Macaca mulatta: one gene and its partner. The protein of the gene in region 1 binds, or shares a complex with, the protein of each later gene. Links are inferred from orthologs where the notes say so. Each region holds a gene or a part of one and is shown on either strand. Other genes may lie near its edges.

The links. The genes of interacting proteins can lie anywhere in the genome.
Region 2: TOX4 (region 1) and WDR82 share a complex: the UniProt entries of both Homo sapiens proteins name them as parts of the PNUTS-PP1 phosphatase complex. The link is inferred for Macaca mulatta from reciprocal best matches to the Homo sapiens genes TOX4 and WDR82.

What each region holds. Positions count from the first base shown.
Region 1 is NC_133412.1:94,338,048-94,342,142, reverse strand, and holds the start of TOX4 (TOX high mobility group box family member 4), read right to left. Parts: upstream 2,804-4,095; 5' UTR 2,765-2,803; coding exon 2,759-2,764; intron 2,548-2,758; coding exon 2,479-2,547; intron 1-2,478. Other genes in the region: RAB2B (ras-related protein Rab-2B), read left to right, coding at 3,163-3,208, 3,438-3,509. UniProt on the Homo sapiens protein: Transcription factor that modulates cell fate reprogramming from the somatic state to the pluripotent and neuronal fate. In liver, controls the expression of hormone-regulated gluconeogenic genes such as G6PC1 and PCK1.
Region 2 is NC_133407.1:115,807,049-115,811,344, forward strand, and holds the start of WDR82 (WD repeat-containing protein 82), read right to left. Parts: upstream 2,801-4,296; 5' UTR 2,771-2,800; coding exon of another isoform or gene 2,533-2,770; coding exon 2,372-2,532; intron 1-2,371. Other genes in the region: uncharacterized protein LOC106996905, read left to right, coding at 2,531-2,770, 2,836-3,150. UniProt on the Homo sapiens protein: Regulatory component of the SET1/COMPASS complex implicated in the tethering of this complex to transcriptional start sites of active genes.

The sequences.
Region 1 (4,095 bases):
CCCAAGCTGGAGTACAATGGTGCGATCCTGGCTCACTGCAAACTCTGCTTCCCGGGTTCAAGTGATTCTCCTGCCTCAGTCCCCTGAGTAGCTGGGATTACAGGTGCGCACCACCACGCCTGGCTGATTTTTGTATTTTTGGTAGAGATGGGGTTTCACATGTTGGTCAGGCTGGTCTTGAACTCCTGACCTCGTGATCCGCCCACCTTGGCCTCCCAAAGTGCTGGGATTACAGGCATGAGCCACCACGCCCGGCCTCAGCTGTTTTTTTTAAATTAATTATTACTATTTTTTATAGAGACGGAGTTTGATCACGTTGCCCAACCTGGTCTAGAACTCTTGGGCTCAAGCAATTCTCCCACCTCAGCCTCCCAAACAGTTCGGATTAGTGGCATGAGCCACTGTGCTGGGTCCAGATTTAGGTTTTATATCATTTCTAAGTTTGCCACATACTAGATTCACACTTACCCTGCTTATAAGACTAATAAAGCAACAAAAAAGTTAAACTGGCGCCGGGCATGGTGGCTTATGCCTATAATCCTAGCACTTTGGGAGGCTGAGGTGGACAGATCACTTGAGGCCAGGAGTTCAAGACCAGCCTGGGCAACATGATGAAACCCTGTCTCTACTAAAATACAAAAAGAAAAAGAAAAAAGAAAAAAAATTAGCTGGGTGTGGTGGCGCACACCTGTACTCCCAGCTACTTGGGAGGCTGAGGCAGAAGAATCACTTCAGCCCAGGAGGTGGAGGCTGCAGTGAGCCAAGATCGTGCCACGGCACTGCAGCCTGGGCTACAGGGAGACTGTCACCTCCCCCCGACAAAAAAAGAAAAAAAAGTTAAACTAGCAACTACCCCTTGTCAACCCCATTTTCATCCATGAAAACGTTAGGATTATAGGATAAGCGCATGCGACAGCCACTGACAATTCTTGGTACAAAAAACTGATGCAAATGGTCCACACCACTTTTGAAAATAAATTTAAAAGTCCTCAAAAAATGGCACGTGGTTCAAGACTTCAGTTTCTCAAAGACAGAAATTTTTGTCTGTTCCACCGTTCTCTTTTGCTTCTCCTAAACAAGTGATACGTATCTATATTATGACAATATTTCAACCAGAATTTTTTTTTTTTTTTTTTTTTTTGAGACAAAGTTTCCCTCTTTTTGCCCAGGCTGGAGTGCAATGGCGCGATCTCGGCTCACCACAACCTCCGCCTCCCGGGATCAAGCGATTCTCCTGCCTCAGCCTCCCGAGTAGCTGGGATTACAGGCATGCGCCACCACCCCGGCTAATTTTGTATTTTTAGTAGAGACGCGGTTTCTCCATGTTGGTCAGGCTGGTCTTGAACTCCCGACCTCAGGTGATCCACCTGCCTCGGCCTCCCAAAGTGCTGGGATTACAGGCATGAGCCACCGCGCCCGGCTCAACCAGATTTTTTTAACAAATACTTTAGGGTTTCATCACAACCTTTACTTCTACTATAAAACAGCATAAGAAGCTATTATTACAGCTGTTTGACAGTTGGGGAAACTATGACATACAACGATGAAGTAATGTGCCCAACGTCTGAGTCACAGAAAAACTGAAACACATATCCTACTCAACTCTTTTTATGTTCTCTAGCAGCTATTTCCTTTCTTCCTGGCATTAGCAAAACAAGCCGACACTGTGTAGGTAAAGGTAACCACAAACTTTTTATTAAAGTAGTAAATTTAGGCCAGGCGCAGTGGCTCAGGCCTGTAATTCCAGCACTTTGGGAGGCCGACGTGGGTGGATCACCTGAGGTCAGGAGTTTGAGACCAGCCTGGCCAATATGGTGAAACTATATCTCTACTAAAGATACAAAATTAGCCGGGCATGGTGGCACACGCCTGTAATCCCAGCTACTCGGGAGGCTGAGGCAGAAGAATCGCTTGAACCCGGGAGGCGGAGGTTGCAGTGAGCCGACATCGCACCACTGCACTCCAGCCTGGGCGACAAAGCGAGACTCTGTCTCAAAACAAAACAAAACCAGTAGGAAATATAAATGAAACAAATTTAAAAAGACCCCTTCAACAGAGTTCGTTACAGGAATGAACACATGCTGTTCCACGGTCAACCCTCTGCTAGGTAAGCTCCTCCCCTCACCCCAGTTTCTTCAGCTGCTGAAAAATTTTCTTCCCACTGCGATCCTTTAAGATTACTGTAGTTATTTCTCCCCAGAAAAAGGAGACAATTTCACTGTCTTCTAATCCAGAATCACTTTTCTCTTTAAATAGGTTATCTCTTTCCAATAGCTTGCTTTTCTGATGACAGCAACTTCCCAAGACTTCCCCAGATAGTCCCCATAGGCTCTAGAAGCAGCTGCCACTTTTCTCTAAACACCAATTGCAGCCCTTGGTTCCCAGCCCCCGTCCCTGGAGTGCGTGCTCTCCTCCCCACCACCCTACCCCACCGCGGCCTCAGGCCCTCCCCCCGCGGCGTCGGCAGCTCGTGCTCACCTCGGCCCCTGACAGGAAGGGGTGCGAAGGCCCTGTGATAGTCAGGTAATTGTCATTTCCTCCGGGAAACTGGAAACCAAAAGAAAGCCGCGGGGATAAGTTAGGGGGAGCAGGGAATTAGCTTGGAGCGATGGCTTCTGACCCCGACATTCTGACAACACTCCCCAAACCCCGCGCTCTCTCCTCTCCCGTCAGTCGCCTCTCCACCCGGCTTCCCGTCTCTGCTTCAACCCGGTCGGCCGCGTTCTCTCGCCAGCCTTCTTAGCTATCAGGTTCCTACCTCCATCTTCACACAACCGCTCCCACCGTCTCAGACCCTCATCGCTCCCACCGCCCCCACTGGTCTCGGAACTGCCGTCACTTCCGCAAGGACGTGCGTTACTCTCTGCTCATTGGAAGGAGCGCCGTGGGGGCTGCAGCGAGTCAGGCGGTGGCCTATCGCCCCCTGGAGCTTGGAGGGATAATGGCATGTAGAAGTACTAGAGGTATCCCTGGAGGTGGCGTTGGGTACTCCCGACCTAAGGAGGATTTCTGGGGAGAGCAATAGAGACGTGATCTGGGCTAGAGGAGCCGGAGAGGGTGGGCGGCCGGGAAGAAGAAGATCGGTAGATTGAGTGGCTAGAGAGGTTGGAGGTAAGTGGCTGTAGAAGTCGGGCGGACCCGGAACCCAGAGGACGCGACATCATGACTTATGCTTATCTCTTCAAGTATATCATCATCGGAGACACAGGTAACCCTCAGGTTGTTCGCCTTCAAGGCTGGGGCGGACGTCCGAAGCTCCCAAATTGGGTGGCGGGGGCGGGGCTCACTTTGTGGGCTGGGCGATTCGAGACGGGCGGGGCGGTTCGGGGCGGCCAGGGGCGGGGCTCGGGGACCCCCCGCTTCTCTGGTCCGGGAAGTCCAGAGTCCGGGTAGTGTTCCAACGCTACGTGACTCTGGGAGCGTGTTTTCTCTTTCAGGTGTGGGGAAGTCATGTCTCCTCCTGCAGTTTACAGATAAGCGGTTCCAGCCTGTCCACGACCTCACAATAGGTAAGTGCATCTACTTGTTCCAGAACAGATAAAACCTGACTAGCTAAATTGCTAAAGTGGAAAGTTAGCAGCCTTCAGTGTTCAAAGTAAAAAGTTATCCCTCACTACTTTAAACTAGTCCAAAGTTATGTTAATGAAGTGGTTAATCAAACGTTGATATGTGGCGAGTAGTGTAAGGGAGAGTATATAATTGAAAGGTAACTTTTTGGAGTGTGAGGTAGAGACTTGTCATATAATTTTTTTCAAGTACAATTTTTTATGTTTATGGAAAATCCCACGAAAGCATAACTGCTTATTTGTAAACTCATCTGTGCTTTGCAGTAAATTAATACCAGCCTTACTTTTAAAAAGTAAACACCAATACATGGACATTTTTTATATTGGTGAAGAAGCAAATTGAAGAGTCATCCCTGCCTTAGAATTAATAGGCAAATAAAACTAAAAACTTTCCTTTTAAATAAAACAGTGTGTTAAACAGTTCCTCATACCCACTGGGGATCCTGGAAAATATTAACATTTCCCACACATTTGTGATAAGGCATAGCCTGAAGGGGCTTTTAGCTACCCCCTCTTCATTATCTCCATA
Region 2 (4,296 bases), on another chromosome or scaffold:
GGCGGCCAAGCGAGACTCTATCTCAAAAAAAAAAAAAAAAAAAAAAAAAAGGAAAGAAAAAGAAAGATGAAAGAAAGTCCATGTTGAAGTGTTTAGAGATAAAAGGGCTTGATACCTCCAACTCTAAGGGTGGGGGGAGGCACACAGTACATATAAATATTTACCTACAGTGAAGCAAATGCAGAAAATGTAACCAGTTACTGAATCATATGGGAGTTATCTGAAACATTGTTGTAACTTTCTGTTCATTTGCAGTTATGTAAAAAATGCTATGTGAGTGAATAAACTGCCTTATGTCACAAAACTAGCATTTTACTTTTAACAAGACAGGATTTGGCCAGGCGCAGCACGTCATGCCTGTAATCCTAGCACTCTGGGAGGCCGAGGCGGGTGGATCACTTGAGGTCAGGAGTTCAAGACCTGCCTGGTCAACATGGTGAAACCCGTCTCTACTAAAAATACAAAAATTAGCAGGGCATGGTGGCAGGCGCCTGTAATCCCAGCTACTTGTGAAGCTGAGGCAGGAGAATCGCTTTAACCCGGGAGGCAGAGGTTGCAGTGATCCAAGATCATGCCATTGCACTCCAGCCTGGGCAACAGAGGGAGACTCTGTCCCAAAAACACAAGGAAAAAAAAAAAAGACAGGACTTCACGTCAAGGTCATCCTTCCCAAATCAAAATTATGCCAAATTTGGGGACAAACTGCAAAGAAAGGCTATCACAACCTTCATTTTCTTTAAATGAGGATATATATCTCCATCCTGAGGTTCTGGGAAGAGGTTCTAATCTGTGCAAAAGCACTAAACATTTCATGCAAGCCAGCTTCAAATTACTCCTCCAGGACCCCACAATGCCGACCCTACTACCACACCTTTAAGTGTTACTTCCTCTTCTAAACTGATTCAAGTGACCAGACCAGGACAGAAATCTATCTACTCAAGGAGTAACACTGACTCAAATAACTAAGTATTTGTTCAGCTAACAATTCCCTCTTCCTTAAGACCACCACTGCAGACCACTCTGCCACATACTGCAGGCAGATCCAGAGCCGGTTACGTAATAATTTCTCACAGTCCCAGTGGGAAAAAAATTAGGGGGGATACCATTATAGCTCAGTCCAAACTAGCATTATTTCAGATAATCAAATTCACAAATGAAGAGATACGTTCCAAAAGAAAGACACCAGTTTAAAAAAAAAAAAAAAAAAAAAGGCAAAAGGAACAGCTGGAGAAGGTAGGAAAAAACCCAAGACCTCACAATAATAATAATAGTATCTGTTACTAGGTAACAAAATCAAGTCTGACAAAACCAGAGGTCACCGAATTAAACCAAACATCAGCAAGCCTTCTTGGGGAAGGTGGCAAGGGTAAAACAAATTTAATCTAAACTAGTTTTGGCTCCAAGGAGCTGCAAGTCCACAGGCGTGCGGTGAGGGGGCTGACAAGGACCCCCAGGGGAAAAGTCAAAGTGCTGTGCTTAGATTTTGCGAAAAGATGCAGGTATGGTGGGTCTCCAGATGACTTGTGGCAACATAAAAGTTTCATGATCAGAACTGGAATTCAAAGTGGACCAAAAAGTGTAATAGAAAAAAAAAGTATGAAAGGAAACCTGAAATTGTTCTACGATGCTTGCTTTGTTTTAACGGAAGCTCACATTCAGGTCAGGATGGGAAGACCAAGTTCGTTTGTGTGTGGCAAAAAGAAGTTTTAGATGTTGCTGAAAAGTTCACTTATGAACGTGGGCACCGAGTTTGAAAGAATAAGAGAAAGGCTACGAGCACGAAGAAAAAGCAAGGGGGCTCAAAGAGGCACAACAAATAAATCCTGACAGCTAAGAACTGCAACCCACGCTGTCTGACGGCAGAAAGGCCGCGGGAAGCTGAGGGGCAGGGGATGGGCGGAGTGCCAGGGCAGAATCGAGGTCACAGCGGAGAGGGCAGAAGAGCGAGCTGACGCTGCCGAAGGAGGCAGGAGAGCAGCCCCTGCAGTCCTGCGTCGAGGCCGGAGCAGACCAGCACCTCTGACAGCCTGAGAAGCTGAAAACGCTACCTGCTGGGCCCACGGTGGGCGGACCGGGCGTTTAAAGGTCAAGGTCAAGGTGGGGTTTGGCAAGCGATGCATAGCGCTCAAAGGAGACCGAAAACATACAAATAAGAATGCTATTATAAAATTATGACTATCGTAATTTTTTTTAATAAGAAAAAATAAAAGGTCTCCTGGACTGCTGCGGGGTGGAGGCGGCCCTGGCAGGAACGCGTGCAAAATAGGCCGGGGGCTGAAGTTGGGACGGAGGGCGGGCCGAGGGACCAGTGCTGGGCCACCGGAGGGAGGGAGGCACTGAGACTTGGGCCCAGGGCCTCCGCCGCACTCACTTGCCCTCCTGGCAGTCATAGAGCACGATGGAGTCGTCGTCGCTACTCGAGATGACCGTCTCGCCGTTGGGGCTGAAATCGAAGCAGTTAATCTTGTCCGAGTTTTCGCGGAACACCTTAGCGACGCGGAAGCTCCGCAGCACGCTATCGGTCAGCTTCATGGCGGCGGCTGAGGAAGGCAGCGGCGGCGCAGGACCGGGGCGGGGCCCGGCGGCGAACGGGCGGGCTGCCGAGGGGCCAACCCAGGCGGGGCGGGCGCCGCGCCGGCGGCTAGAGGGAAGTCGGCCAACAGTTGGGCCGCCTCCTCCTCTTCCTCCTGCTTGGACGAGGGTCTTCTGCCTGAACTGCGGAGCCTCGCCGTCTGTTCGTCTTCACAGCCACCTCACGGACAACCGGCGCGTAGCCGGCTCATTGTGTCCGCCATTTTGGGGCGACAGGCAGAAGCTGAGGGCGAGGAGCCTTAGCCGCGGCGCACGCCGGGAAAGGGGGCGGGGCGGGAACGGCCTCGCGAGGCCGGGAGTGGGGGTGGTGACGTCAGCGCGGCCGCGGCTGAGTGTAGTGGCAGGGCTGGCCGCTGGCAGGGAGGGGCTCAGACGCGCGGGGCCTTCTCCGGGGGTCGGAAGGTTGCGGGTGCCTTGGGAGCTGAGGGCCCTTGCGCTAGACTGCAACCCCTGCGAAGGCTCTGGCGCCTCCTGCAGGCTTCCCGACCACAAGCCGCGTGGGAGGGGGTACTGCAGGGTCGAGTACGCCGCTGGAGGCCGGTTTTGGGGGCGAATCAGGTGAGCCGCTCGCGGGCAGGCTTGACCGCTAGTCCACCGCAGCGCCCGCTTAGACAGCTTCGACCTCTTTTTTTTTTTTTTTTTTTGAGATGGAGTCTCTCGCTTTGTCGCTCAGTTGCGCTATCTCGGCTCACCACAACCTCCGCCTCCCGGGTTCAAGGGATTCTCCTGCCTCAGCCTCCCGTGCAACTGGGATTACAGGCGCGCGCCACCACGCCTGCTAATTTTGTATTTTTAGAAGAGACGGGGTTTCACCATGTTGGCCAGGCTGGTCTCGAACTCCTGACCTCAGGCAGTCCGCCCGCCACCCGCACCCGGCCTGGTGTTCTTAATCGAGGTAGACTTTAGGTACAGTAAAAATCAGCCGCCTTGGGCCGGGCGCGGTGGCTCACGCCTTTCCAACCCACCTCTTTGGGAGGCCGAGGCAGGATGATCGCTTGAGCTCAGGAGTTTGAGACCAGCCTGGCCAACATGACAAAACCCCATCTCTTCTAAAATACAAAAAATTAGCCGGGCATGATGGCGCGGCTGAGGCACGAGAATTGAGAAAGGGAGAGGCTGCAGTGAGCCGAAATCGTGCCACTGCATTCCAGCCTGGGCGACAGAACAGACGGTCTCCCTCCAAAAATTAGCCTTTTTAGTGGCTAGTGTTCTAACACCCATAACACAGTCATGCAATCACCACCACATTCAAAATATGGAAGAGTTGCACTATCCTGTTTGTAGTCAACAGGATTATTCTAAAGGTTCTATCATATAAGTGATTCTTTGCCTTAAAAGAAGTTTATCTCTAACAAAGGAAAACAGTATTTGAACAGAAAATAGGAACCAAGCTTCCTAACCTTAACTTTATGGGCAAAGGGTTAAACTCAGTGCCAACCTATGTAGCTTCACAGATCTCTATCTTGTGTGAAGCTCCTCCAAAGGTTAAAAAGCCTGGGGTTTCCAACAGTGGAGATGGGGATTATTTATTTTTGCTTTCTTTAGCTAAAGAGAAACAAAAACAAGGAAAGGCTATGAGACATTTCAGTCGCTATTAGGAAGGTGTGATATCCAGAGACCTGTGCAATGGTAAAAAAATGGAAACCCTGGGACAGCTGGGGTCTTTCTAGAAAGAACTTAGAGGCTGTATCCCAACCCCCTGGG